Linked DNA regions of Tamandua tetradactyla. The protein of the gene in region 3 interacts with the protein of the main gene of each other region in a pairwise test. Links are inferred from orthologs where the notes say so. Each region holds a gene or a part of one and is shown on either strand. Other genes may lie near its edges. The genes, in order: SYT16, RTN3 and RTN4.

What was found.
Region 1: the proteins of RTN4 (region 3) and SYT16 interact in binary tests that used the Homo sapiens proteins (3 or more experiments, as listed by UniProt). The link is inferred for Tamandua tetradactyla from reciprocal best matches to the Homo sapiens genes RTN4 and SYT16.
Region 2: the proteins of RTN4 (region 3) and RTN3 interact in binary tests that used the Homo sapiens proteins (3 or more experiments, as listed by UniProt). The link is inferred for Tamandua tetradactyla from reciprocal best matches to the Homo sapiens genes RTN4 and RTN3.

What each region holds. Positions count from the first base shown.
Region 1 is NC_135338.1:2,893,623-2,903,767, forward strand, and holds the start of SYT16 (synaptotagmin-16), read right to left. Parts: upstream 5,606-10,145; 5' UTR 5,276-5,605; intron 1-5,275. UniProt on the Homo sapiens protein: May be involved in the trafficking and exocytosis of secretory vesicles in non-neuronal tissues. Is Ca(2+)-independent.
Region 2 is NC_135335.1:10,964,487-10,974,631, reverse strand, and holds the start of RTN3 (reticulon-3), read left to right. Parts: upstream 1-3,277; 5' UTR 3,278-4,517; coding exon 4,518-6,831; intron 6,832-10,145. UniProt on the Homo sapiens protein: May be involved in membrane trafficking in the early secretory pathway. Inhibits BACE1 activity and amyloid precursor protein processing. May induce caspase-8 cascade and apoptosis.
Region 3 is NC_135343.1:27,390,352-27,400,496, forward strand, and holds the start of RTN4 (reticulon-4), read right to left. Parts: upstream 6,595-10,145; 5' UTR 6,310-6,594; coding exon 5,760-6,309; intron 1-5,759. UniProt on the Homo sapiens protein: Required to induce the formation and stabilization of endoplasmic reticulum (ER) tubules. They regulate membrane morphogenesis in the ER by promoting tubular ER production.

The DNA.
Region 1 (10,145 bases), on a different chromosome or scaffold from region 3:
TTCTTCTACACTTCCCGTGACATGATGTTACCAGCTGCATCAGCTTCCAGAATGAGTTTTGGGAGGCGAGTGTTGTTGCTTTGCTTGCGTTTTGCCATTCTGCTCTGCAAGAGGTGAGGCTGAGGCGCAGTACCTGGCAAGGCTCAAACGTCTCTGGGCCATTAGACATCCAATTAGTCGATTAGAGCCCCCGGTGACTAGTGGTCCAGACAGCCTGCATTTGGCCTTGGCCCCATCTAGATTCAGCACCCTGTCATTTGACTGCCTTTTCTCCACGCAAAAGCCCTGAGCAGTACTTATTTATTTTATCACTAAAATGAGTTTAAGCTTTTGAAAATGGTGACTTTCCACCCAACCTCAGGAAGGATTTGTAGGGCCAATTAGGAAGTGAACTGAAGTGGTCTTCAGTCTCCCCTGAATGCGTACCTCCCTTTCTGTGAAGAGACAAACCCTGGGCCCTAGATCATCGTGCCATCTAGCGGCATACTCGTTTCTTCCACGGCCTCTCAATTTGCAGCGAGGATGCCCAGCCATCAGCTAAATTATTCCACCTCCCAGCCTATGAATTTCAATAAATATGCCATCTGTTCACCTTCTGTGTGGGAGTTCAGTCATCTTCCTGGCAGCAGTATTATTCCACCGCAATTACCTATGTCTTTATCACCTCTCATTGAGTTGCAGCAGCATCTCTGCAAAACCGACAAGTTTCAAACCACAATTTCTGTTGATAGGACGGTCTCTATGGTTTCCATGGAGATGATCAACTAGAACACGGAAAAATATCTACACTTGAGGTTGAGTGGGGGCCCCCCACAACCTGAAAAAAAAGGAAAGCAGGCTTTCCTTTGCACTGTGGAGTAGAAATGAGGAGCCTTCATTTCAGGCTGCCAGGTTTTGATCTGCTGAAATCACAAGACAGGAGAAAAGGCGAATGGAGCCACGTGCTGGAAGATGCAGAATCAGGGCGTGGGATCCATATCCAGCCCTGCCACGAAACACACAGCGAGGCCGTGTGCATGATCAGGGATCTTCTCTGGGCCTCAGTTTCTTCTTCTGTAAAGCGAGGAGATTAGAATAGAATGGGTGACCGCTGAATTTCCCTTTATCTAGAAATTGTTAAGATGCTAGCACACAGAGGACGGGAGCCCGTAGTGCAGCACATACCCAGAAGTTCCACTGACTCTCTGAACACCACTGAACTGCTAAGAAAAATCATAGCCAAAATTATAGGGAGTCAAAACCACCAGAGCAATGTGGATGCATTTCAAATTCTGGATTTCTGTTAATTCTATTTCCTGGCCTCATATATGGAAAGCGGAAACAAAGGCTTAAAGAGGCTAATTTACCAGGGTTGCCCCAAGAAAGTGGGGAGCTGGAGTTCAACTCATGCTGTTTGGTTCCACGGTTCAAGCTCTTACATGCAGTGCCATTTTAGAAGCCTTCGTGAAGAAAGTAGCATTTCAAGACAAACTCTGGAAGCACAGGAAGGATGGAAGGCATTTTTGAGGAGAGCCTATATGCATGTCTCATTAATACCCAGCATAAACTTTGCATGGGTTCAGTTCTGGCTACTTGCCATGCAATCGCCTATCCAAACAGCCTGAGTATAGCAGCAACAGCAGTATGCATTCCCCAAAAACATGTTCATTTTCTTTCTGGGCACATAATAACACTACCTTTCCCCAAATCCCCTTGCAGTTAGATCAGGAACAAGAATCTGGGTTCTGGCCAGTGGAATACACTCAGAAACAATGCACACTATTTGCATGGGGCCATAAAACACCATGTGTTTTATCTTCTCTCCCTTCCCTTCATGCAGCTGGAAGTGGAGAACTCAGTTCAGCAGTGCCACAGACCCAATCCCTGAGTCACCGCCTGAAGCCTCACGGAGAGCGGCACCATCTGCTTGGACTGTGGTGAAAATGGGAAACAAACTTCGATTTTATGTTCTACTGAGATTTGGAGGTCTTTTATTACAGCAAGTAACGACCAGTAGATTATCAACAGGAACAGTAATATGCCTTACTTTTCCCTGCCCAACACTCAATTCCCTCTCTTCTGGTGATCACACTTTCCTTCCTGAACATCAGTCCACACGATTCCTAAGGAATACCACCTCCCTATTCCGAATTGAGGCCTGTCAGCACATCCCAGCACCCAGGTCAGCCAAATGAGAGGCAATCCTGAGACGTTTTGCTAAAACTCTGGTGAAAGAGAAAGTCCTTTTCCACTGGGAATGCTCAGGTGGATAACGTGGAGCTCAGGGAGGTCACCACAGCAGAGAACCTGCCTTAGAATAAAGTGAGTCTGTGAGGCAATACAGCCAGGAACAAGATGGGGGAAAAGAAAGAGGGATAGAGAAGGAAATAAAAAGTAGGCAGAGGAAGAGAGAGTCCCCTGTGGGGATTGGAAGAGAGATCAGCCAGAGTGGGGAGGGGAGAACAGGGGGGACAGAGGGAAAGGAGAGACAGAGGATGAAGAGTGAAAGAGAGAAGGGAAAGGACAGGATTTACTGGGGTGGAAGGGGCTAAGGAGGAGAAGCAGAGATGCAGAAAGAGAGGAGAGAAGGGGAAAGGTAGAAGCGAAGAGGGAGGGAAGACGGAAGGAAGACAGAGGGAAAGAGAGGTGAGATTCTCATTTGAATCCCTGGATCCGACCTAGGCGAGTCAGTCTTACCCCTGGGATTCTCTGTTTTATGAGCCAATAACTTCCCTTTCGCATTTATCCATTGTAATTGGGATCCTGCCGCTTGCTACAGGGATTTTGTTCTCATATATTCCAAAACACCCTTAATAATAGATGAAACCAACACACAAATGTCCAAACATGGGCACATAATTATGTAATAATAGTCAACAATGACTAATTGGCTACCATCTACCAAAATGAGCATCATCAATATTCAAAGCATCTCTATAACCTTATCCTTTTAATCTTTCACGATTGACTTCTTCAGTTCATTCCTAGCCTGGGATTATAGGCTATTACGTTTTCTGGCTTGGTTCTTTATCTCTCCTTTCATCTTGCTCCCTATTCTAATAAATTATTCTGTCTTTATCGTCTCTTCCTGATAACAGCTCGTCTTGTTTCTGCTTTTCACGTAGTCATTTAGGATTCTGTAAGGGTCGCTGGTCCCTTCAGCCCCACATCTCACATTCAGCGCTGCCGTGCATCTACCCAGCCACAGCAGCTCCATCCCACAGGCAGTCACTTTAAGCTGCTGCTGCTCAAACCACCCAGTGTGAGCCAGTGGTGAGGCAAAATCCATTGTTCTGAATCTTCCTAATATCGTATTATCGACAGCAGCAGCAAAGGACAGTTGGCTTAAATTGAGAGTCCATGCTTAAATTTGAAAGGGCAAAATGAAAGGTGAAAATGTTTTCCCTGCAAAGAGAAAAAAGCAAAGGAGGTGTGTGAGAAAGAGTCGGAGGCAGCTAGTGGCGTGTGGATGTGGCACATGTGCGTGTGTCGGGAGGAGGGGGGTAAGGAAGAAAATCCAAGGACCCTGTTCTCGAATGGTCATCAGGAAATAAAACACTCTGGTTCCCTCTAAAGCCAAAAGAAAAAATGAAATGATTCTTGGAATATTAAAAAGCAAAAAGAAAAAAAGAAAATTTCCTTAGCCAAAAACCCAGGGGGGCACAAGTAGAGGCAAGCGTCACCCCCTTTCCTTCTAGTGAGAAGAGGCGAAGACACTCAAGGGGTTGTACTCCAGAGACTCATATTTATTTGTACTCCTGGGACTCATATTTATTTTCCCCAGATATTTCATATCCATTCAAGCAAACCGATACATATGACACTTGGGCACAAGGCCTTTTTCAAAGAGAAAAATCAGCCCAGCAAAGCTAATTTTCCTCATTCACCAGTCACCGCCCCCCCCCCCAGCCCCCCACACAAAGCCAGCGTCCTGCCATTCACTCACAGCACCCCAGCCAGGAAAGCGTTCAATGCAATCACAGAAGCTTGGGATTTTTCTGCTACTATGATGCATAATTTACTAACATACACAATTTCTGTCAACAGCAGCCTCGGTTTTTCATATATCAATGAATTTCAAGGCTCTGTAAAAACTTGGCTCTAGATAAAGGAACACTGTAGACAAAGAATTCAGATTTTTGTCCAAAGAGAAGTAAAAATTGTATTTCCTGTAGAAGGCTAAGTTTGTATATTTTTATCATTATGAAAACATTCCTGACTCTATTTAAGACCATCCACCCCTTCCCTTTTGGAACCCCCACTCCAGTGCCTAAGGGGTGAGGTAGCAGCTCAGCTGCGGAAGGGACAGGGAACTTGAATCCTTGCACTCTTATCGACCTGTGACATGCCATGAGCAACGTGAAAAGAAACTCAGAGACCCTTCTGTCTTTCCCTTGAACCTGCCCTATATCTGCTGCCTTGGGGTCTACCTGTCCCCTCTTTTATGCTGGGTAGTAGTCCTGTTTCCATCCCGCCAACCTAAACTGCCCACAGCCACAGTTCCCTGGTCCCTCCTACTCTCTTCACATCCACCAAAGACCCCAGCCCAGTCTTGCAGTGTCTGGAACTCAAGGCGGGGAGAATGAGAGAAGGCTGGCCCAGGCTTCTCCTCGCACACGGTAAATCAGTACCCTGCCTCTCCATGATATTTCTCCTCTTCTAAAAAGCTTGCACTCATTCATCAACCTTTGGGTCTGAGCTGTATGTCCTTGGTGGCCACAAATCCCTCTTTCTATGTTGTGGCCACCAGGACCTTTCCCTGAGCCCCGTAGAGTGAATGTGCGCCTAACACCTGGAACTAACGAGGGCAAAAAAAAGTGAGAGACGATTACAGTAATGTTATATAGAGGGCTATTAGTTTTATCTCTATCATTATAGCTTTTAAAAAAAAGATAGGTAGAAGTAAGATCTATTTTTCTATCAAAACTCCCTAAAGCATGGTCCTTTCCCCCAAAATCGGCTTTTTGTTGTTGTTGTCAAACCCCAGGTAACCACTTATTAAAGATAATTTGGCTCCATGTGCAAGGGCTCATCCATCCACAGACTTTAACCCCAGGCAGAACTAGCTCAAGTGCCTCCAGAAGAGCTAAAGGAGAACTTTTGGCCATTCCCTTTTTAATCTTGATAGTGGTGGTGATAATGATGATGGGCGATAACTGGTAATAGCAATTACTAACTGCCAAACCCTATGCATAAATCAATTTACTTCTCATAACAACACTCTGTGGAAGTCACTGTTATGGTCCCCCATTTTATGGATAAGGAGATTGAGGCAAAGAAAGGATAGGTTACTCACCCAAGGTTACACAGTTAGCAGGTGGCTGAGTCAAGAGTCAAATCCAAGCATTTGGTTCAAGAACCCACGATCTTAAATGCTCCACTCTACTATCTCCCTGTGCCCATTTAAAATAAGGTACCCTGTTGCACAATATTAGACAGAAAATTCAATTCCAGTGATACTTTCTGAAACACCAGCACCTAAGAAGGAAAGAAAGCTGGTGTAAGCCAACTAAAGAAAGCAGCGGATTATTTTGTGCAAAGCTTTCATAAGAGAAATCATTCCCTTCTGTGTTTATGGTCTTATGTCAAAAGAGGGCTATTTGGCTCTACTTCCTTGAGGCCTCTGGTTTTTAGTGGGTCCTGAATAGAGGAATCTGCTGGAGACTTTTCAGTGTTGCAACAAGCAGCCAATCAGACTGTTCTGTCCTACAAACAGTGGGAACAGTGACTTCACTCCTAATCAGTGTAAAAGACCTTGACACTGAATGAGCAAAAGCTTTTTGCACTCCAAAGAAGCAATTTTTTTTGTAAGGAGAAAAAAAAAATCAGTCAACTTCTTAAGTAGAAAGAACTCACCTATTAATCTTGTTCTGCTACTCTTGCTAATTTGGGAAACAGGAAAGTAGTCACACCCTTTTGCGCTCAAATTTAAAAACAGTGCACGTCATCAAAAACAAAGGACTTTATAAATTTGTCCTTCAATTGGTCGAGCCCTGCTACAAGTGACTCCTTAGGCACCAACTGATGGAGAAGAGAAGGTATTTCGTGATCACTTTAAACCCAGGTTTCAGTTCTTCACTATAAGGCAACTAAATTCCATTCACTGAAGCACAGAGCTCTTTAGGAACCTAACCAGCTGAAAATCTAAGTTTAAAAAAGGAAGGGAAACAACTATTGGCTTTGGGTCACTTTAACAATCCTTAATATTAATGTAGGGGGCCTAAGGAGTTCTCTTTTCAATGTTTTTATAAGACTGTGAATGTTGATTAATGGACTGGCAGACAGTGTCAATCCCAGACAACAGCTAGATAAATAGTTCTGTTTATCCATTTCCTTCTACTGATAAGTGCAAATCTGCCCTTTATTATTAAAATAGCTCCAATTTGAGGAAAAAGTAGGTGTAGAAAGAGAAAGCAAACTGATAGGTAGGAAATTACAGAAGACACAATAATTGGATGCTTTGCAGATTTGGAAAAATAGTGATATTAAAATTAAATTATGTTACAACATGAAAACAGTATAAAATTACAAAGTACTTACCAAGTGATTTGTGTTTGTTAAAGTTCTGCATTATTCTACTATCCTGCTTACCCTGTGCTAACTCTGTTTTTGTTTTGGGGAATAAGTATATGACCCCACATTTGTGATATGAGGATTATTTAAATAGGATTGTGCTTTTAAAAGACCTACATAGCCTTGGCTGCCATAGAAGAACGATTGGAGGGGTGCAATACCGGAGGAGTGGAGGAGGAAAGGAGCTCATGAGCTGTTACAATTATTCAACATCATGGCAGACCAGAAGGATGAAAATGGAGATAGAGTTGAGTGGATGAATTCAAAAAAATTACTTAGGCAGTAGCATTTCCACACGTGAGCGATGAACGGGATGGGGAGAAGAGAGGAGTCAAGGTTTCCGGCTCAATGGACGGTACTGGTGTATACTGAGAGAGGGAGCACTAGGGGAGGAATTGGTTTGTGGAATAAGATTAAAAGCACAATTTTGGAGGTGTTGAATTTCAGGTTCCTGCAAGACAAAGTTGACTGGATATAGACTGCCATCCTTAAGACCCAGGCGACAAACATTTGTGGATCCACCATCTACCAGACACTATACTAGATGCTAAGACAGAGCAGTGAAAAAGTTAGACAGCATCCCTGCCCTTGAGGGACTTAGAGTCTAGATAGAGAGAGAGGCGTTAAATAAGTCATCAGACAAATGAATAAATGGAGGTCCTGAGAAGGAAGCATTTTAAGATGGATGAGTACTAACGACAGAGCTCTCTATTGGATTTGGTAGCATAGAGGTCATTGTAATCTTGGACGAGAGTTGTCACAGTAGAACCCCAAAGACAGAAGCTAGATTAAAGAGAGTTGAAAAGAAAGCTAGAAAGTAAAGAAGTAGAGACATTAACTATGGGAAATTTGTTCAAATAGTTTTGCTGAAAAGTAGAGCAGCAAAATGAAGCATTTCTAGAAAAGGACATACAGTCAAGGGAGAAGTATTCAGAATGGATGATTATAAAGCATGTTTGTATGTTACCGGGAATATTCTCTAGCAGAAAGGGCAAAAGTGATAACGCTGGAGAGAGGGAACTTTGCATGAACTAAGTCAATTTAAGACCAACCAGAAAAAAATATTAAAATCACAAGGCCTGAGGGTTATTCTTTGGGGAAGTAGTATTTAGAAAGGAACACTGGGGGCCTCTGAAGTACAGATAATGTTTTGTTTCCTGATCTAGGTGCTAGTTAAATAAGTGGGTTCATTTTGTGAAAATGTATCAAGATGTATATTATGATATGTGCATCTTACAAGTCAATAAAGTTTTTGAAAGGCAAAAGGATTGGAAAGGAGGAAACAACTTTTTGCATTTTTTGCAAGTGACATGATTGTCAACATCAAAAACTCTAAAAATTCATAAACTATCATAAATAAAAGGAAAGTTTCACAAAATAGCTGCGTATATGAATACTATTCAAGTCAACCACACCACAATTAGAAGATATTTTTTAAATACACCATTTAAAATAAAAATTAAAAACTATAAAATATATAGTAAAAATTTAACAAAATATGAGTATGAACTGGATGGATAAAATTGTGAAATTTTACTGAAAGATATTAAAGGAAAACCAAATAAAGCAAGATACGTGTTAACGAAGAGGAAGATTTGACTTTGTAATGATGTCAATTCTCCTCAGATGGACCCAGAAACTCAGTGAAACTCCATTCAAAACCCCAGCAGGATTTTGTAGAAGTCTGCAAACTGACTCTAAAATGCACATGAAATAAACAGTAAGGGGCCAAGAATAGCCAATCACTTCTAAAGAAGAAGTAAAGGAAGTACTTGTCCTACCATGTATCGGGTTTATTGTAAAGCTCAGGAGCTCCTGTAACGTATCTCAGACAGTGTGATAGCAACACAGGGACGACCTGACTCACCAACAAGCCCAGAAACAGACCATTCCATATGTGGGTCTTTGCTCTATGACTAAGGTGCCCATTTAGTTTATCATCCAACCTGGGGAACTATTCGTCCATAATACGTTAGACCAACAAATGTAAACCATTTTCTGGGCAAATGAGGATGGATATTTGGTATATCTATGACAGAGGTGGCAAGAGAACAAATGGAAGAGTTGGCTTTTGATAGAAACAGAGGCACTTAATCAACAAATGCAGGTGGGAAATGGAGTATGGATAAAGATATCGGTGTTTATTAGATTTGATGATGGGTATTTGACCTACCTTACTACTTTTATTTTCTCTTGAATCAATGTCACCAGCTGAACATGAATGGGAAAGGAGCATAAGAAGCTGGGAGTGAGAGAAGACAGTGAAAGTTTTCTGCAGGGTGGAAGAGTAAATAAACTAAGGATGTGGAGTAGGCTTGCCAGGCAGCATTAAATTTCACATTGGATTTATGTCACGAATATGTAGATCAGTGAGCACAATTATTCCTTTTCTCCAGCAATATTTAGCTGCTTAAATGATTATAAAGACAGACTGAAATATGAACTAGGTAAAAAGGAAAGTAAGGAGAATAGGCAGATCATAAGCATGTGGGAGGTCAATGGATTAGATAGAGTCTTGATGAAGTCAAAAATCGTGGGGTAATAATTCTAGAGAGGGGAAAAGGAGTGCGTGTCCGAGAGCAGGCTCCTTACAACAGATGTCAGAATTGGTGCTGTTTATTGTTGATACAAGATCTAAGAACCCTGGGAGTCAGGGATCTGGGAGTAATATTATTTGGGTCACAAAATCGTAGACTGGAAATGTTAGAGCTGAGGTCCAGAGAGGTAAAGTGACTTGTCAAAGGAAGAAAAAGAAAATGTTTATTGATTGTGCCAGGAACACAGAGGTGAACGATGACAAACGTCCCTGGCACATTTCTGAAAAGGGATCCTTTCTTCCTGGCAGTTGTGATATCTCTGTCACTCATTTCATTAACTCACAAGTCAAGCAGGAGAGGCAAGAAAAGACACATTTCTTTTTTTGTTTCCAAATCATTGTGGGAACCAAATAGGAATATTATTAATAATAACGTTACTAAGTGTTTGCCATGTACAAGCATTGTGCTGGCTGCTTTGGTGATATTGCGAGGTGATACATAGCTGGCCTCTTCCTAAGAGGTGTATTGAGTCTACTGGGAGAAATGGACTCCCACAAAGAATTCTATGACAAAGAAAGCCAAACTGATAGCAGGAAATGCTGGCGAGGGTGCTTAATTCTGTATGTGAATGACTGCTGGTGGCTAAATCCTCGAGGGTGGGCTCGGGCTTTAAGCCAACACTCTCATCATCCTAAATAAACATTGAGTGAGTGTGGGGGCTACATAACCCAGCTTCTAGATAAATCTTCTAACTGCTTCTAGACTACCACTCCAAACCCCTCCTATACAGCAATTCTGAACCTCCTGCTACAGGTTGGCAAAAATCTAATGTTCCCTGTGACCCATCACGAGAAGAGGGAGAGAATTTCAGGTGCATTCTTGGATTCTATGCTGATATGAAGGGAGAGGGTTGGGCTGAAAGAAGAACTGAAAATTCAGATTACTGCAAAATACCAGGTTTTGGTGTCAATGGATATTGGAATTTCTTGTTTTTCTTCTTCCTCAAACCAAAGTTGTTCGGATTTGGCAAGCCAGTGTGAGGACGTGAATTTGTGT
Region 2 (10,145 bases), on a different chromosome or scaffold from region 3:
TTGGGAGCATGCTCACAACATCATTGTAGGGTTTTAACTTTTTTTTTACCCCTTACCCCACCATACTTTGGTTTCTTTTTTAACAAATCTACTAGATGTATAAGTCTTGTTTGTTAATAATTAAAGTAGCACCATATTTTTAAGTGATTAGAACTCTTAATAGCGAATATGTTCAGTTATTTCCATTATATAATTCTTGTGTTCTTTTTTAATTTTTTTATTAATTTTAAATTTAAAAAATATGACAACAAAGAAACACAAGCATTCTTAATATATAATCATTCTGTTCTACATATATAATTAGTGATTCAAAATATCATCACATAGTTGCATATTCATCATCATGATCATTTCTTAGAACATTTGCATCAATTCAGAAAAAGAAATAAAAGATAACATAAAAAGAAATAAAATGAAAACAGAAAAAAAATTATACATACCATACCCCTTACCCCTCCCTTTCATTGATCACTAGCATTTCAAACTAAATTTATTTTAACATTTGTTCCCCTTATTATTTAATTTTATTTCATATGTTCTACCCATCTGTTGACAAGATAGATAAAAGGAGCATCAGACACAAGGTTTTCACAATCACACAGTCACATTGTGAAAGCTATATCATTATACAATCATCATAAGAAACATGTCTACTGGAACACAGCTCTACATTCAGGCAGTTCCCTTCAGCCTCTCCATTACATTTTGAATAACAAGATGATATCTACTTAATGCATAAGAATAACCTCCAGGATAGCCTCTCGACTCTGGAATCTCTCAGCCATTGATATTTTGTCTCCTTTCACTCTTCCCCCTTTTGATTGAGAAGGTTTTCTCAATCCCTTGATGCTAAATCTCAGCTCATTCTAGGGTTTTTCTCAATCCCTTGATGCTGAGTCTCAGCTCATTCTAGGGTTTTTCTCAGTCCCTTCATGCTGAGTCTCTACTCATTCTAGGATTTCTGTCCCATGTTGCCAGGAAGGTCCACACTCCTTGGAGTCATGTCCCACGTAGACAAGGGAGGGTGGTGGGTGTGCTTGTTGTGTTGGCTGGAGAGAGAGGCCACATCTGAGCAACAAAAGAGACTCTCTTGGGGGTGACTCTTAGGCCTAATTTTAAGTAGGCTTGACCTATCCTTAGCGGGGTTAAGTTTCATATGAACAAACCCCAAGACTGGGGGCTCAGCCTATAGCTTTGGTTGTCCACACTGCTTGTGAGAATATCAAGAATTCACCTGGGGTGGGTGTTGAATTTTCCCCCATTCTCACCATTCCCCAAAGGGGAATACTTTGCAAATACTTTTCCACTCTCTGATCAAATCACTCTGGGATTCATCGGGGCATCACTCTGGACAAACCAACAAAATCTCATGTCCTTTCCATGTACTTACATTGTTCAACCAACTATCTACATAAGTTATATTAGGACTTGCACTAGTCAAAGTATAAATTTTGTACCAAATAAACATTTTTTGCTTTAGTCTCACACATAAGTTGAAATTTTATCTTTAGTGTTCTTAATGAGATTTTTGATGAAGGTTTGTTTTGAGTAGTATTGAAAATCTCTTGGAGTGAGCTATAAAATTATGAAAAAGGAAAGATGGTAGACATTTTCCAAGATACAAAATAATCCAGGGTTATTCTACCAGGCAGTTTTATGGTAGGTGGTATTTTAAAAATAACCTTTAAACTCTCTGGAGTGCTCTGCCATTTTGCCAGGCTAATTGGGAGAGTCTTTCTTTATGGAAGTTGTGCAAAAGACTTATTGAATTCTGGACTTCTTTTTATGTTTAATATTTTCACGGCTTTATAAACTAATTCCAGCCCAATTTTTTCCGTTGTCTTAGTACAAATCAGTGCTATCCAAATTTGTTTGACTTCCAGTTAGCCAAAGAAATTTCTTTTGCTGAAATTCTAAACAAGATCGCTAAAATTCAAGTATAGATGGATGGTAACTTTTTGGCTACATATTGGAAAGCTTAATTGACCATAATGAGAGCTAGCACCTGCATTTACAGTCATTGAGGAACTAATGCAACATCATGCTCTTTACCTTTGAATTTGCCCCCCAGAAAAACACTATCTACCCCAAATATTAGGGCATGATTAAAATTATTTTGGTATATATTATAGATATTCCATATTAAAGAATCTTTAATAAAATGTTTGAAGTCTTATCAGGAAATCATGGCATTTAGTACAGGACTTATAGGAACTCTGGTATTAGGGCTTCTAACCTAATCTAGTTTTATCTCAGATTATTATATACCTTACTGGGGAGGAGTATTTAGAATTCAAGGAAGATAAGAAGGATGCAAGACTTAGTAAACTGACAGATTTGTCTTCTGGCAAAGCTTAGAACATTTTACCATGCTTTTGTTTTGGTGATGTGTGCATTCTTTGATTAACATTCAATTTAGGTTCCTTTCCTTTTTATTTCATCAAGCACCACCCCATCATCATCATCATTTTATATATATTGGTATTGCTTATTGTCTGTCTCTCCTTCTGTATTGTAAGTTCCACAAAGGCAGGTAGGCAAGTATTTTTTCTCTTTTGTTCACTGTTCTAAACCCAATTTCTAAAACAGTGTCTGGCCCATTGTAGGTACTCAGTAAATATTTGTTGAATTATTACTAATTCATTTTGTTGATTTTTGTCTGTAAGATGGCAAGTTTGGAGCATCTGAAATCTGTCTCTATAAAACATACAGGCTGATCTTTCACTGTGGAATGGAGTCAGTTTTGCTCACCTCAAAGTTCCATTCCTGTTCAGAGGGAGGCATTCCCAAATGGTTACCTTAACCCAAATCTAATCCATTGAACGTGTCCGTGATCAGCAAGATTAATAACAATATGTAGCTTAGATTACGGGATATTTCTTATTTAAATGTAGCCTATAGTATTTAAACTTGAGGTTTTTAAAGCTATAATAGGGCTTCATTTATATTATACCTTTAATCCAACCATTCTGAGTATTCCACACTATATTATGATGGATATAAAACCTGTTTACTATGTTAGAACTTACTAGGATTTGTAGCTTACTTAAAATATTTTCTATCCCACTGTCCAATTTGTACCACCAAACTTTTAACAGTTTTTCCTCAATTATGAAAACTTTGTCCGCCCCCAATACCCAAGATTATAATTACACAGTTCTAAAGGTCAAACTGTATTATATCAAATTACATTGATGTATCAAAAAGGGGGAAACTTTATCTGGCATTTCAAAACATTTTTATAATAGTGAAATTTTTTATATTGCAATAAGGTAATTATTTTCATCTTTAATAAAATAATTTTGAATAGTCATAATTTTGCTCTTGTTTAATATTATTATTCAGCCTCTTACCAGCAAAAGAAAACAGAAGCTGAATAATGGTGTTCTCAAAGGAATTTTCCTTTTACATGGTTCCAATCCTTCATACATGCTTAGGATATTGCTGCCCTGATTCCACATGGATCTCACTTGACCAGCCTGAATCTTTGATTCATTCATTTGGAACTATTTATTTAAGACCTAGTTTGTTCCAAGTTCCAAAGATATGCAATGTGCAAGAAAGACAGTGCCTGCCCTTGGGATGATTGTTTTTATCTTTTCCCAATAAAAAGTTGCTGGTTTGAAAAGTTGGAAAATAATGTGGTAAATAAATAGTTACTGTGGTATTAATAACTGATAAGGCCTAATTAAGGTATTACTTTTAGAAGGATATTTTAAAAGAATTTTTGAAGTTAAGATTATCTTAACCAAAGAAACCAAATTGAATGGTTCGGTTTTGGTTAATGTGGCAGGTTTTGGAGCAGACCAGTTTTTCCTTACCATTTAAGTCATCTGTGCATGCGATGAATTGTCCCTGTGGATCAATTAGGATCATTCTAGTCTCACTTTTAGGCTCAAGAAGGGTTCTCTGTACTGCCTAGAGATCTTTTGGCCACTTACTTTTTTCTTAGATTACTGTCAAACTATGACAGTAGAGTTACAGACAGAATGTGTTTTCTGAATGGTTCTGAAAGGTTCAACTTCAGATGACTGTATCAGTTCTTCATATTATCAAAATGTTTATTTTTGTATGGATTATGTTGTTTCTTAATAGTTCTCCCCCCACCCCAATAACAAAAGACAAAACAACTTCCCCACATCTCCCAGTCTCACTAATCTTGTTTATGCTTTAACTCAACAGTGAAAACAATTATACAGATTGAAAAGTATTTGCTGTGAAAATTTTTCGTCATTTGCAATTTATAGCATGATAATGGCTTTCTGTTTCACTGTTGGCAATGTTATGCATGTCTTGTAGGGCAGCTGTTGATCATTGTTTTGTTACATATTTGTGTCTATATATACATCCTGTGTGTGTGTATATATTTATTTATATATAATTTTAAAAAACGAAAGCATGCTGCTTGGCCTGACTAGCTAATGTGTAACTGTATGCAGTAAACAATTGTTTTCTTTCAAATTCTGACCATAGAAGGATTGAGCTCTCTTTGCTCTGATGAGGCACCTTCAGAAATTATGACTTCCTCCTTTTTTTCATCTTCTGAAATAGAAAATATTGACCTTACAACACTACATGGAGAAAAAAGCAAAGCGTTAAACAGCCAGCCTATTTTAGCCAAAGAAGGGAAAGACTGCTTGGCTCTTCTAGATATGAAAAAGATGGAAAAGCCTCAAGCAGCAAGTAAAGACATAGCCAATCCCCCAGTTTCTACTGAAGCAGGAGTTCGTTGTAACCAGCCTTCCATTCCAGCCAGTTTCTCAGAGCATCCTGCTTCCTTCTCAAAGGAATTTGGCCAGATGAAACAGCAAGTAAATAAAGATCAAGAGTCCAAAGACCCAAATGAGGAACCAAGTAAAAATGATAAAACTGCCTTGGATGCTGATGACGGGTTCACTTTTCTAACAGCCCAGAAACCACGCCCTGAGCAGTCTAAGGCTGAAGGCATTCATACATATTCCTTATCCCCATCTGAAATTTCAGGAGGTGGTATTGAAAAAGATTCCCCTGAATCACCATTTGAAGTAATTACTGACAAAGCAGCATTTGATGAAGAGTTTAAGGAGTCATATAAGGAGAGCATAAATGATTTTGGTAGCTGGGCAGTGAACACTGATGGAGAATCTTCTGCAGACATTACAGAAACTAATGACAAAGTATATCCACTGAGAAATAAAGAAATAGGGCTTTACCCAACCTCTGCATTGCTCACTAGACAGTTTTCACACACAACTGCAGCCTTGGAAGAGGTGTCTAGATGTGTGAATGATATGCATAACTTTACTAATGAAATATTGACTTGGGATCTGGCACCTCAAGTGAAACAACAGTGTGATAAATCTTCTGACTACATCACAGAAACTGTAGGATTGGACATGAGTAGATATGATTTAGAAATTCCAATTGTAAATCTTAAAAATAACACTCATCAGAAAATTCCCATATGTTCTGTTAATGGGAGCAGTCCCATCACTAAATCAGCAAATGATTGGACAGAAGCATCTCTCCCACAAGAAAATGCTATCATTGAAAAAACTACACTGGATTATCTTCATTCCACAAAGGAAGTCAGTACCAAGGGAATGCAAGGCAATATGCAGAAACAAGATGACATACTATCAGAATTATCTGGGTCTCCATTGGAGAAGTGTGTGCCTTTGAGTTCTAGGGTGGCCATGGTGAAAGTGGTTTTACCTAATGACCACCTAAAAGATGACATGAACTGGCAGAGCTCCATGTTGGGAGAAATAACAGAGGCTGATAGTTCTGGTGAGTCCGATGACACAGTAATAGAGGATATCACAGCAGATGTGTCATTTGAAAGTAACAAAATTCAGACTGAAAAACCTGTTTCCATTCCAAGTGCTATTTTGAAAACAGGTGAAAGAAAAATCAAAGAAATTCCCAGTTGTAACAGGGAAAATAAAACATATAAAAGCTTTGAAGAGTCCATCAGTGTCTCTAGACCACAAGTTCAGCCTGATATCCTTGGAAGGAATCCAGTTGGTGAGGGGGAATTTTCACAAGTATCTGATGTGAATATCCCTTCAGAAAATGTGAAGCAATCAGCTAATATGAGTGAAGTCGCTCCTGAAAAGCCTGTTGTAACTAAGGACCCAAAACTTTCTTCAGTAGCATCTCCAAATGTCTTTAATGAGACAGAATTCTCACTGAACATGACAACTTCTGCCTGTTTGGAGTCATTACATGGGAAGAAAATTGTTAAAGATGTAGATGATTCTTCCCCAGAGGACCTGGTAGCACCCTTTACAGAAAACAGAGAGAAAGGAATATTGGTTAAAGGTAAAGGAAGTGCCTTTGAAGAAGTATCAGAGAAGGCAGACTTGAAAACAACTCTTCCTGTAGGTATCTGGCATGAAAGCAATTCAGATGGTTCTGAAGTTAAAGACATAAAATACAAATACTCTGAACAAAGCAAAGTAACAAATGGAAGTGAGCATCGGGATTTTTTCCTTATCCAAGGTACTTCAATAGCATCTCTTGATTTAGAACAGGAAAAGCTCACCATCAGAGCCCTTAAAGAATTAGGTGAAAGACCAGTCAAGAAGTCAGTTCCTGCACAAGATAAAGTAGAATCTCCTTCTGAAGAAATACTCAAACAAACTTTATCATTTGCTCCAGAGACTTCTTGGTCGCAGAGATCATATGTCATCCTAGAACATACAAACGTCAAAACTGAATCTAATCTTGAGATTTCCAAAAAGCCCACTGTTATCAAAGAAACAACTAGAGTAGGTGTTATTCCCAGCCTTAGCAAGACTGAACTGGTAAACAAGCATATCCTAGCAAGACTTCTGACAGACTTCTCAGGTAACCATTTACATTAGAAATACTACATATGGTTAATTCTGCTGATTGATTACTTATCAGAGTGCTATTTTTCTTAGTCTCTGATAATAGAGTTACAAAACTAGAGCTCAAGTAGAAACACATTGTATGTAGGGAAAAGATAGGTTATTCTTTTTTTTTTTTCAAATGGGTGCTTGATTTGGTTTCCCTAAATCAATTATTTACCTGAACAGTAGACCACTTGGTAAAATTGATCTTTCCTTTAAAAAAAATTTTTTTTTGAGGTCCAGTTATATTTTAAAGTTTTCCTTTCCTAATATAGTTAGATACCTATAGGTATCTAAACAATATAATGATTGCTACTTTTAAGAATATCAGGCTCTTATTTGTTTATAAAGCATGTTTGAAAATTTCCATGATAGTAGCACTGCTGATCGTCAAGTTGTTTTTTTTTTTTATTTTTATTTTTATTTTTTATTTATTTTTCTTTATTAATTAAAAAAAGAATTAACAAAACAATTAGAAATCATTCCAATCTACATGTACAATCAGTAATTCTTAATAACATCACATAGTTGCATATTCATCATTTCTTAGTACATTTGCATCGATTTAGAAAAAGAAATAAAAAGACAACAGAATAAGAATTAAAACAATAATAGAAAGAAAAAAAAACAAAAAAAACAAAAACAAAAAACCTATACCTCACATGCAGCTTCATTCAGTGTTTTAACACAATTGCATTACAATTGGGTAGTATTGTGCTGTCCATTTCTGAGTTTTTATATCCAGTCCCGTTGTACAGTCTGTATCCCTTCATCTCCAATTATTCCTTCTCTTTTTTTTTTTTTTTTTAATTAACGGAAAAAAGGAAATTAACCCAACATTTAGAGATCATACCATTCTACACATGCAATCATTAATTCTTAACATCATCACATAGATGCATGATCATCATTTCTTAGTACATTTGCATTGGTTTAGAAGAACTAGCAACATAACCGAAAAAGATATAGAATGTTAATATAGAGAAAAAAATAAAAGTAATAATAGTAAAATCAAAACAAAACAAAACAAAACAAAACAAAAACCTATAGCTCAGATGCAGCTTCATTCAGTGTTTTAACATGATTACTTTACAATTAGGTATTATTGTGCTGTCCATTTTTGAGTTTTTATATCTAGTCCTGTTGCACAGTCTGTATCCCTTCAGCTTCAATTACCCATTGTCTTACCCTGTTTCTAACTCCTGCTGAACTCTATTACCAATGACATATTTCAAGTTTATTCTTGTTTTTTTTTTTTTTTAATGTGAACCTTGTGAAATCTATTTAGCAATCAAAGATAAAGGAATTCCTGTAGGAAAAGACACAGTAAATGGAACTTTTAATTAATTTAGCCCTATACCACAGAGATTTTATGCTCTGAAAGTAGGTAACCACACTATAGAACAGTTTTGTGAGTAATACTTAAGAGACCATATGTATCATTTTACTTTGAACCTTATATAATTCTTCAGGTCAAAACTCATTGGATGGTATTTCTCCTTGTCCTCTTTAGACAAGGGGGAAGTACCTTGTCTAAATAGAGGTACTTATTTAGAAACTATAAGATTGAACATGAGTAGATTTAGAAATTCCGACTGTAAACCTTAAAAGTAACACTTATCATAAAATTACCATATGTTCTATTAATGGGAGCAGTCTCATCACTAAATCAGCAATAGTAACTCTCCCCCCAAAAAAAACTGTCATTAAAAAAACTACACCAGGTTCACATGAGTTAGGATAGTTATTTTACCCTGTTCTTATAGGCTTATAGAAAATAAAGTACTCTGTAAATTCTAACTATTATGCATTCTCAGCTGGGTTATTGACAATATGTAAGAGGAGGAAACGGCCATGGAAGTTCAGGATATTTCTCACCAGTCAAAATTTAATAATTAGTAGATTTTTTTTAGATGATAATTAAAGAAGACCGGTATACTAAGACTAAGAAGCTGAAAGATCTGATTGCAGATTTTAAAATTGGAAACTTTTTAAAATTGTCTTACTTTATGAATAAATCTTTTCAAATGGAGACCAACTCATAAAAATGTATCAATCTTTTATTTTAAAAAGTATATCTGAATAATTTTCCTTTCTAACATAAAAACAGTTCTGCAGTTATGTTCTTCCTGAAGCTGTTGGAAAAAATTTTTTAAATTTTTTTAAATTTATTTTTCTTTTGTTATTTATGATATATTGTACACAAATTCCTAATGAAGCCTAAATTAATTTTTTAATTTATTTATTAATTTAAAAATAAACAAAATAAAACATACATAATCAGTAATTCACAATATCATCACCTGGTTGCATATTCATCATTTCTTAGAACATTTGCATTAATTCAGAAAAAGAAACAAAAAGACAATAGAAAAAGAAATGAAACGAACACAGGAAGGAAAAAAAAAAAAGATTATACCTATCATACCCCTTACCCCTTGCCTTCATTGATCACTAGCATTTCAAACTAAATTTATTTTAACATTTCTTCCCCCCGTTATTCATTTTTATTCCATATGTTCTACTGGTCTGTTGACAAGGTAGATAAAAGGAGCATCCGACACAAGGCTTTCACAATCACACAGTCACATTGTGAAAGCTACATCATTATTCAATCATCTTCAAGAAACATGGCTACTGGAACACAGCTCTACATTTTCAGGCAGTTCCCTCCAGCCTCCCCATTACATCTTGAATAACAAGATGATATCTACTTGATACATAAGAATAACCTCCAGGATAATCTCTCGACTCTGTTTGGAATCTCTCAGCCATTGACACTTTGTCTCATTTCCCTCTTCCCTCTTTTGGTCAAGAAGGTTTTCTCAATCCCTTGATGCTGAGTCTCAGCTCATTCCAAGATCTCTGTCCCACATTGCCAGGAAGGTCCACACCCCTGGGAGTCACGTCCCACGTAGAGAGGGGTAGGGTGGTGAGACTGCTTGTTGTGTTGGCTGGAGAGAGGGGCCACATCTGAGCAACAAAAGAGGCTCTCTTGGGGGTGACTCTTAGGCCTAATTTTAAGCAGGCTTGACCTATCCTTTGTGGGGTTAAGTTTCATATGAACAAACACCAAGACTGGGGGCTCTGCCTATAGCTTTGGTTGTCCACACTGTTTGTGAGAATATCAAGAATTCAACGTGGGGAAATTGAATTTCTCCCCGTTCTCACCACTCTCCGAAGGGGGCTTTGCAGATACTTTTCCACTCACTGATCGAATCACTCTGGGATTCATCGGGGGGCATCACTCTGGACAAACCAACAAAATCTCATGTCCTACCTGAGATT
Region 3 (10,145 bases):
GATGATGGAAATGTTCTATTTCTTTAAAAGGGTGTGGGATGGGTTAAATGAGTATATACATTTGTCACAATATAAAAGTTAACATTTACAATCTATACATTTCATTTTATGTAAATGATATCAATAAAGAGAATCTTTGGGCATTCTTCAGCAAACTAACTGCATGCAGAGAGAGCAAGCAAGGAAGAACCCATAGATAGATTAAGAGAAAGAAAACCACAAATCAATCTATTGTAATACACAGACCTTATTTGAATTCTGAATTTTTTTTAAAAAAAATTTTAATTAAAAAACTTTTATGACACTAAATAATTGGAAAGATGAACATTTTAAACTAATTATTGTTAAATATTTTAGAGAAATATTTTATTGAAGTATTGTGATTATGTTTAAAAAAGAAGTTCTTATACATTGCAAGATACATAATGAAATCTTTATGAAGGTGTGCAACTGACAGAACTGGGTTGATGGTTCTTGGGGCTCAGTGTTGGCTAAATGATGTTTCATACACTATCGTTTTCCTTTATATTCAGAAACTTTTCATGATAAAAAATAAAAATTTTTAAATTGCTTCCAAAATACACATAAGGCAATATAATCATATTAAAATTCTACTATACTGAAGCAATTTAGCCATGGTTTTACCCACAACCCTTGTAACAGATAATTCAAATATTCATGTTTGATTCTATCAATGCTACACTTAAGTTCCTGCAACATAAAGTTGATTTTAAAAATTTAAGTAAGGGAGATATCAGAAAGCTTGGTGAAACAAAAGTATGTAAATGAGAAGGGATCTTGACAGTTGGCAATCTTGCAGTGCTTGTTCAAAAGTGATGTCTTACAGCCCTAATCCTTATAGCAGATCTATGTGTAACATAAATGGCCTATAAAATATAAAATGAAATACTTATCTTTCTAAATTCTGACTTTCATAATCCATCTTCATGTATGCAAAAGCAACTAAGTTTTTATCAAGTTGTTTTGTATACAGTTCCCATCCCTGGTGCTGTCATCCCCAGAAGGACTTTACCAGAGTCTATATAAACAGGAATAAAAAGTCCAAAATAATGTACTACAAATATTGTATATATGCAATACTACCACTTAATCAAAGATTTCAAGAAACAATCAGGAAAGATCATTTGTTTAGTTAGTTCTTTTATCTTTTAACCTAACAAAGTTCTTTTAAAAATATGCCATTTAAATTGGGGTCTTAAATCAGCAGTGTTTTATATCAATTGTTTTTAGGCATTTTGGGAACAGAATTACATAAAACAATCAACTACTGAACAACTGAAGATATACTCCTTTTTTTCAGAAACATTTTATATCTAAGAATTGAATACACTCTAATATCTTTTATCTGATTTTCAGTTGTCTAATCTATTCTTTGTTTCTCTGCTCTGATTTTCTATTGTTTCTTTTCTGCCATATTGGATAGTGGTGGTAAAGTATGCCATTATTATGGAATAGATTCTGTTAGTGTTTCTTTTCTTTCTTTCTTTTTTTTTTTTTCCAGCTATGTTGTCCCTGCTCTACCAACCAATTACGTTATTGGGGTTGGAGGAGCAAATAACTGATCTTTTTAAATGGTCAGTTCATAGGGATTCATATCCAGATATGATGGAGATAAAAGAATCTGAGTCGGATTCAGCAACTGGGTGGAAGTTAGGGTTTTCTCCCTCGGGAGAGGGTGAAAATTTTTGACGTGATGGGAGAAAAGTAAATTATAGCAAGTGTTCTAAGATTAGAGTAATATAGCACTGTTCTACATGATTAGATTTTTATCAAGTTTCAAATATACTCATCACTTTTTAAAAAGGATTCGAGGGATCTTGCAAGTCAAAAAAAAAAAGGACCATAAATTTAAGGCTGAGCTTAAATAAAGATAGGAGGCTATCTGAAACATAATTCACCTTGTCCATTAAGAGCATAACACTTCTACCCAACTTTTTCCTACTCAGAAAATTAGGAATTGCTTAATGAGAAAAATGATTAAGAATCTCTAAATTCATCACTTCAATTCCTTGCTGTCCTTTTCTAGGGAATGGATAGTGTGACACTGCTTTCTTTAGCATTATCCACTTCTTAGAAGTGTCCTATCACTGTTCACTGTACATAAAGAATGGATACTTAAAATTTAAACTATGTATCATTCAAAATCTTTTAAAATCTCTAGTATGTACCTCTGATGCCAATATAAAGAAGTGCATTTATGATAAAAAAACTAATAATTTTTAAGCCCCAACCCATAACCTACACTTAAGAGTACTATTCAATTCTATATATATTTTCATTGCGATTAACAATTTAAAGTTTCCAAAATTGATTTAATAAGCACTAACATTCTTTCTTGTGTTTATATCCATAGCCTTAGAGTGCTATAAATTCTTACATAAAGCCTGTTTGTAACCTAACTGTAAAAATAAGAGATTCAGTCAATTAATCAAATCATGCTTCTTATTATCTCTTGAATTCCTCCATTCTATTTCATTTTCATGGAATGAACTCAAATCTTCCTTTGTCTCAGAACTATGGCAAAAGCTTTCTAAAGAATTCACCCATTTTCTTTCCATCCTATCTTGAATATTGTCACCAATTCATTTTTCTAACACTGCCTTCACGATGCCATGCCTCAGGTCAATTAATCTTCAATGCCTTCCTGATGCCTAAAGCAGTAATAATTCAGGAAAGGGGTTAAAACCCAACGAAATAACTGTATTTTGGAAACAATAAAAACATTTCATAATACGAACTAAAAAGTAAGCTCAATTGTGAATAGCAGAGAGTGTATTAAAGCAGTATAATAAAATCCTCGTTCCTTAATTTGGCATTCAATACCCCTCAGAATCCAGAGCCACCACACATTTTCAGTCTTAATTAACACTGGTTTGGGACCTGTCCAGAGGCCAGATCAAAGTCATCTTCCAAGATAATGTTAGCAATTTTCTCAAATCAATTTCTGTCCTCAAAGCCTACTGTTAATCTTTTCAAACACTTCTCCATGAAGAGCCACCATCGAGTGAAAGAGAAGTGTGTCTCACTTCAATTACTATATTGCAAAGGAGATACTCCAGGCACAACAAGCAGCAAAATTACAACTTATCCCCTGATGGAAATCAAAGTTTATTTAAAAAAAAAAAAAGCATGAACAGCAATGTCAAATGCATAAATGTCAGGGATCTACTATACTCAGTAACATAAATCCTCTTCCAGCTAAGCTATGTTCCTAACCACGCTCGGCATTATTTCTCACTTCCTTTGTCTTTACTCATGTAGGTCCTCTCAGTCACTCTGAATATCCAATTTTGCTCTAAAATCACAGAGTTCTTAGAGAAGCATATTTTTAAAACAAACTATACTAGTTAAAAAAAAAAAAAAAAAGCTTTGTACCATGGACTTGTGAGACACCAAATGGCCAGAGTAAAGCCTACCTCTTCTTTACCCTTCCCTTACAATACCACCTTCTCTCTAGCTTTTCTCAATAGCGTTCTTACAGAATCTCAAATGTGCAAACAGCTCATTTCTACTTAAAGGCCTTTGCCCCAGGAGATGCTTGGAACATTTTTGATCTCCACAGCTCAAGTTCACTCCTCAAAAAGGCTTTTCTCAATGTCAGCCTACCTAAAAAAGCTCCCACACATCTACATGATGCTCCATCACCCTGATTACTTTTTTCATAGCACTTAACACTATTCTGAGTTTCTTATTTGTATGCTTATTATCTGTAACCCAATATGGGAGTGCAAGTGTCTAAAGTTTATTGCCAACCTCAAGAACCTAGAACAGTGTTTCTTTCTTAGGAAGTAATCAATAATTTGCTGAATGAACCCACAAACTGTTAAGAAATCTGGACTCAAAGAAATGGGTTTAATTATCCATGACCAAAATTGTAATGTTCCTGCATTTACTAAAGGAACAAAAAGTTTCCAAAGAAATATCATCGATAAAGAATTAGGAACTATGTAGAAACAGAGTTCCTGAACAGGCAATATTCTCTCCTCTATCTTCTAAATTTAGGATTCCAACAGTCAAGATTCCAAGAGAATGCTGTCACCTCCTATATTCCCACTATTCAAAGAACAGAATTCTTAGTTCCCAAGCAGGAATCCAAAATAACAAGTTAACATGCTTTTAAGTTTCCTTTCCGCAAATTTCTTATAATTTTATATTTTTCTACTTCACCTTACTTTCCCTCATAGATATCTTTGTCATACAGAAAAAAGAATGGTTGAGTTACTCATCTTCTAAGACCTTTAGTGTACTGATGAATGTTTTGAGTAGTGCTTTGGGCTATTGTCAATATCAAAATGTTGTTACGTTATTCAAAAGCATCATCACAATCGGTTTATTTCCGCTTTGTGGAACAGGAGTGAAATGAAGGAAAAAAAAAAAAACTACTGTGTGATCTGACTGATTTTCTTTTTCAAGAAAATGAACCACCCCTAAAATTCTAGAAGGCTATGGACATTTCTCAACAGGCTACCTGATCCCTGATCTATAAAGAAAGGTCCTACTGCTAGTGCAATCTATCCCCCAAAGCAAAAAGTTACTCATGAATGCATCTAATCAATTTCTCTATCACTAACAAACTTAATTTTTTCCTTTCACACTAATTTTCTAAGATGAAGAATGTAATAAAACAATGTTCCCCCAAATAAAAATAACATAAAATCAGCTAGTCATGCGAATTAAAGATTTGAAAACCATTTTTTCAAACCCTAGATTTGTGTTTGTCAGCCTAAAACATTTAACTTCTAAGAAATAGTATTTCTAACCAACTTATGAAAATGTCGGTCTCAATACATTTCATTAGGTCTCACGGTAAATCTGCCACAAGGTCAACGGGCTGATTCCCAGCAAGGAATCCACAGGTTTCCTCTTTCTTAAGAATGTCAACCATTTTGCCTTTCCTTTTTTTCGCCAAGATTCAGTTCAGGTGCATCGAGAAGTTGAACCCGTCCACAGTAACAGTTAATTCCTGTAACCCTGCAGTTGAGACCTTGTCAGAACTGTGCCTCCATAGAACCCAATGCTCAGATCCCCTTTCCCTGGCTTGGTTTTTGGTTTGGCTTTGTGGGGAGTCGCCACACCACAACCTGGGGTGGGCGGTGGCAGGACTCAGCCAGAATTCTCTCTCCTTTCCCATTCTCCACACGCCACACCACTGGAGGCGCTCTCCCTTCACTGCGGCTGGGTCAATGTGGACGTTTTCCAGTGGGCCAGCTCCCCACAAGCGCAAGAGGGGGAGGGGTAAAGCGTAAGGGGGCCACCCACGCCGGGAAGGGGTAGGGAGGGGTCCAGGGCTGAACTACAATAGACAGGCAGCGAAAGCTGCACCTTTTCCTAGAGGAGCAACCCAGACGGGTGGACAAGAGCCCCTCCCAGAAGCTTGGGGCGCCAAGGCCTGCCCAACCTTACCCTGAAACCAAGCCAGCCCAACGAACTCACAACCCTTGTTGCTCGACACACACCCAGCTCCAACGATGGGTGGGGGCCCAAGCCCCGGGATGCAGTGAAATGGGGACCAGAGGGAAGAACATCGGGAGCCCGCGGGGTGCACGTGGTTCCCCGAAACCAAGACAAACCAAATAGAACAAGCCCGGGCTTCCTCCGCCATCCCACCCTTCTTCCCGCGCCTCCCGGGGGAGAGAGGGCGCCTTCACCCAGACCTCGGCAGACAAAGCCCCCTCAGGGCTCAGAGGAGCGGCACACAAAAGAGGGAGGGGCGCGAGGCTGGAGGGCGCGGCACTCACCCACGGAGCCCGAGGAGCTCCTGCGCTTGGGCGCGGCCGGCGTGGAGGGGGGCGCGGCGGGGGCCACGGCGGGAGGGGTCCACGCGGGCTCGGCCTCGGGGCTCAGGGCGGTTGGGGGAGGAGGGGGAGGCCGGGCGGGGGGCTCGTCGTCCTCGGGCAGCTTGGAGGGCGAAGCTGCGGCAGCGGTGGGCGGGGACGGCGCGGGCACTGTGGACCGCGCGGGGCTCGGGTCCCAGGACGGCTGCCGCTCCGGGGCGGCGAGGGGCGCTGCCGGTAGGGGTCCCCGGGGCGCCGGGGGCACGAAGTCATTTCCGATGTCAAGCAGGGGAGCGGGAGCTGCGGGCGCTGGAGCTGCAGACAGCGTGGCGGCGGGCTTCCTCTCCAGCACCTCCAGCTCCTCGAGGTCCTCGTCCTCGTCCTCTTCTTCCTCCTCCTCCTCTTCCTCCTCGTCCTCGGGCTCCGTCACGAACTGGTACTTGAACTGGGGCTGAGGCCGCGGCGGGCTGTCCGCGGACGAGGAGACCAAAGGCGACTGGTCCAGGTCTTCCATGGCTGGCGGACCGGGGATGCTGCTGCAGCTGCCGCGGCGCGGGCCGCTTCTCTTTCACAGCTGCGGGCGGTTGTGGGGGTTGGGAAGGACTGAGGGGCTGGGCCGGCCGAGCCGAGGGACCTGCAGTGGCGACGGCTCCCGGAACAATGAGACTGCTCCTCCTGCCTCCGCGCCCGTGATGCGCCACCCACCCCGTCCCCTCTCGCAGCCGCCGCCGCCCAGATGAACGAAGGAGAGAGGCCAGCAGACTCTCCGCCCAGTTTGGCGTGACTCACCTCCCTGGAGGGGAGAAGCAGGGTCTGGCGCGGGAGGAAGGGAGCCAATCGGCTCCGGGATGGAGAAGATGGCAACCAGCCGGGCCAACGGAAAGGGAAAGTGCTGGGAGGAGGCGGGGCTTGTTGCGCTTCCTTGCCCTTACCGGCTGGGGTTGGGTTCGGTGGGCGGGATTTGGGACTGTGAGCCTCGCCCCTCACCTTGGGTTATTGTGGGTCCGGGTGGGGTCTTGGCCTTGCAGGGCAGTTCGAGGTCTTGTTTGTCGTTAGAGTAGAGCGAAGGGGAAAGGGCTGCGGACCCGGAGGGGTTGGAGAGGTTCCTGGCGCGCCACCGGAAGGGCGTTATCGGGGAAAGGGGGAGGGGGAAGTGGAAACTTTCCTGCCAGGAAAGAAAAACCCAGAATGGGGTATTAACTAACGGGATGGTGAAGTAGGCCCTCATAATTTAAATATACATTTTTAAAGATTTTGAAATAAAAGATTATACTTTTTTAAACCCAAATTCCCAAGCCACCTAAATTTTTTTTTTTTTTTTTTTTTTTTTTTTTAGTTTTAAGACCACTCCCAGTCTAAACTGCAGAGGTTGGCATGAGGTAAGCCAACAGCTGAGGACGGTCTGGAGCTCCGGGAACCACCATTTGAAATTGCCGTTCCTGTCCTTCCAAGAGGGTTTTAGGCTCTGCTGCTTGACTCTCACATGATGGAAGGATGAGTCACCCTAAGAGAGAGGAGAGGAGGAAAGTGGACACAGAAAAATGCCTCGGAAGGCAAATTTGGTTCACATTACATTTTCAGTCACCTTAGGCTCATGAGTCAACATTTCAGATGATGCAGGCGTTTCTGGGAGTCAGAAAGCCCCAGAGTCATTCGTTTGTTAAGCGGGAATGATCGTGATCCCCCAGGTCACTTTTTCCAAAACTGGAGAGTTTAAAGAAAGTAGTTGCAGAACACAAGAGTCATCAGCCAGAGATCTAGAGAGCCCTTTGAACTTTCTGAGGTGCCCACTCTGTTAGGCCGTGGAGAGGAAGATCACCTGCTTTCAAGTTGCTTACAGTGAGGTAGTTGCAGCTCTGTCCAAAATTCAGTTGCTGGCTACATGCACCTATTGAGCACTTGGAATGTGGCTAGTCAGAATTGAGATGTGTTGTAAGTGTAATGTGCACACTGAAATTCCAAGAATGAGTACCAAACAAAAAGAATGGAAAACGTCTCACAAATTTATGTAAGGTTACCTGTCGAAACTGATATTTTTGATATATTGGGATAAGTAAAATATCGATTTCACTTGTTTCTTTTTACTTTTTTAATACAGATACTAGAAAATTTTAAATGCACATGGCTCATTTTTTTTTGGACAGCTCTAGAGTAATAATGGCAATCACTGGTTATTTAAACAAATTCTTAACTCCAGCTAATTAATTTTATCCTAGGCTAAATTGGGGTATTGAAAAGGACAAGTAGAACAGGATTTCCTTGTCATTTAATTATCAATGGCACATGCAAGACTTAGCACATTGTTCTACAAAGATAAACTGGATCTATTTCTACAGGCTGATTGTGAATTGTTTTGAGCTTGTTTGTTTTTGCTTTTTTGAAGGGACTAGGAAGAGTAGGCTTATTTTGCTGGTAAATGAATGCCAAATTAGAAATTTTAAACAAAACGGACTCATGTGATAATGACTAAAATACAACTCTAAAATATTAACGTTTCAAGTGTTTGTCAGAAATTATCTAAAATGTACATGATTTTCAACTAAATGTATACACATACAAAAACATACTATTTTTATGCTATGAACTTTTTCTAAATTAAGCTATTAGCATTTTATTCGTTCCCATACTGCTTTTCCTGCTATGTTTGTTCTGGAACACATTAATGGGAAACTTCAAAGGATTTCCATATGTCATCTGTAAGTTGCTTATATGATATATCTTCATTCAGATGAGCTCGGTACCATATCTGTACCTACTAAAACAGTCTCAAAGGGATATTCTTAATTTATTAAAATTTGCAGGTATGAATGTAATATATATTACAGAAATGTGATAGCTTTATGACTTTAATAGCAGTGAATATTGGGACAATAATATAAACATTCTTCTGATGCAGAAGAAAGACTAAAATTATCTTATTCATCTCAATGACCTCTAAAATATTAAGCATTTGATGGTTAAATAACAGGAGTTTACCCAGTGTTCATAAAATGGTTAACAAAACATAAAGAAAGGAGAATATGACTGCTATACCAAAATTAAAGGTATAGTTAGTTACAAGAAAGTTCTAGTGGGCGTTTAGGATAGTTAAGAAAAGAATACAAATTCTAGATCATATTAGTGGTTTAAAAATAATTATTCAGCAAATTATCTTTGGAATCATTTTGCCAGGAGTAGCTTAATTTTCCAAATACCCACTGGTTAGTAACTGTTCTGTCTTAGAACACTGCACAAGATCCATTCAGCCTGGTAGAATCATAGATCTCAGAGATGGGAGGACTCTGGGAAGTCAGTTTATCTAATCTCTCCCATTACAAGAATTCCCTGCAGAGTTTTTTAAAAGGTGGTCATCTGTAGATTAAAAGTGGCTGCAATCTCTTTGCAGCAACTGTCATCAAGAGGGGTCTTCTATTTCCCTACTCCTCTGAGTTGGCTTTGTGACTTGCTTGACAAATAAAATGCCCTGGGAGTGAGTTCCATGTCTAACAGAAAGAGGTATCACAGCTTCCTCTTTAGCCCTCTTGGAATGCTGAGGCCCTGTGAAAGAGCCAGGGCTATATATTCTGGAAGATGAGAGACCAGTGGAGAGGCAGGCCTGCTATCCTAACCATTTAGATGGTGGCCCAGAAATATGAATGAGGCCATCTCAGACTCTGCAGCCAACCCACACTATCATGAAAAACAATGAATCATTGTTTTAAACTACTACCTTTTGGGGTGGTTACTTATACATCAAAAGGTACTTGAAACATCCATTTTGGGCTTCATTTATGCTTGATTCATTCAGACAAGATAGTTATTGGGTGTTTATTATGTGTCAGGCACTGTTCGAAGCTCTGGGGATACACCACTGAAGAAAACAGACACAAAGATGCTTGAACATTTTCAGTAAAGGGAGACTCACTACCTAGAGAAATAGCCCATTCATTCCATTTCTAAAATATTTTACTTCACAGAAAATGTTGAATTGATACCTAATCTGGTATACATAGAACAGATTAATTGTTCTTATATCATGTATACCCCTCTACATGAGTTAAAAGGCATAGAATGGATGTATCTCATCTTTACATGTGGGGTATGAACTTCAGAGTGAATGCAGCAATCATAGAAGAAAGATGGGACTTGAATGCCAGCAAACCTGTTTCGACAACTGTGAACCATAGCTTTTTTTTTTTTTTTTTTTTTTTTTTTTTTTTTTAAAGGAAAGACAGAGAGAAGGAAGGAAGGAAGGAAGAAAGGGAAACATCTTTAAAGACAGAGAGAAGGAAGGAAGGATAGAAGGAAGGAAGGAAGGAAGAAAGGGAAACATTTTTTCTTGTTTTATTGTATTCTGTTTCTCCGTTTTTG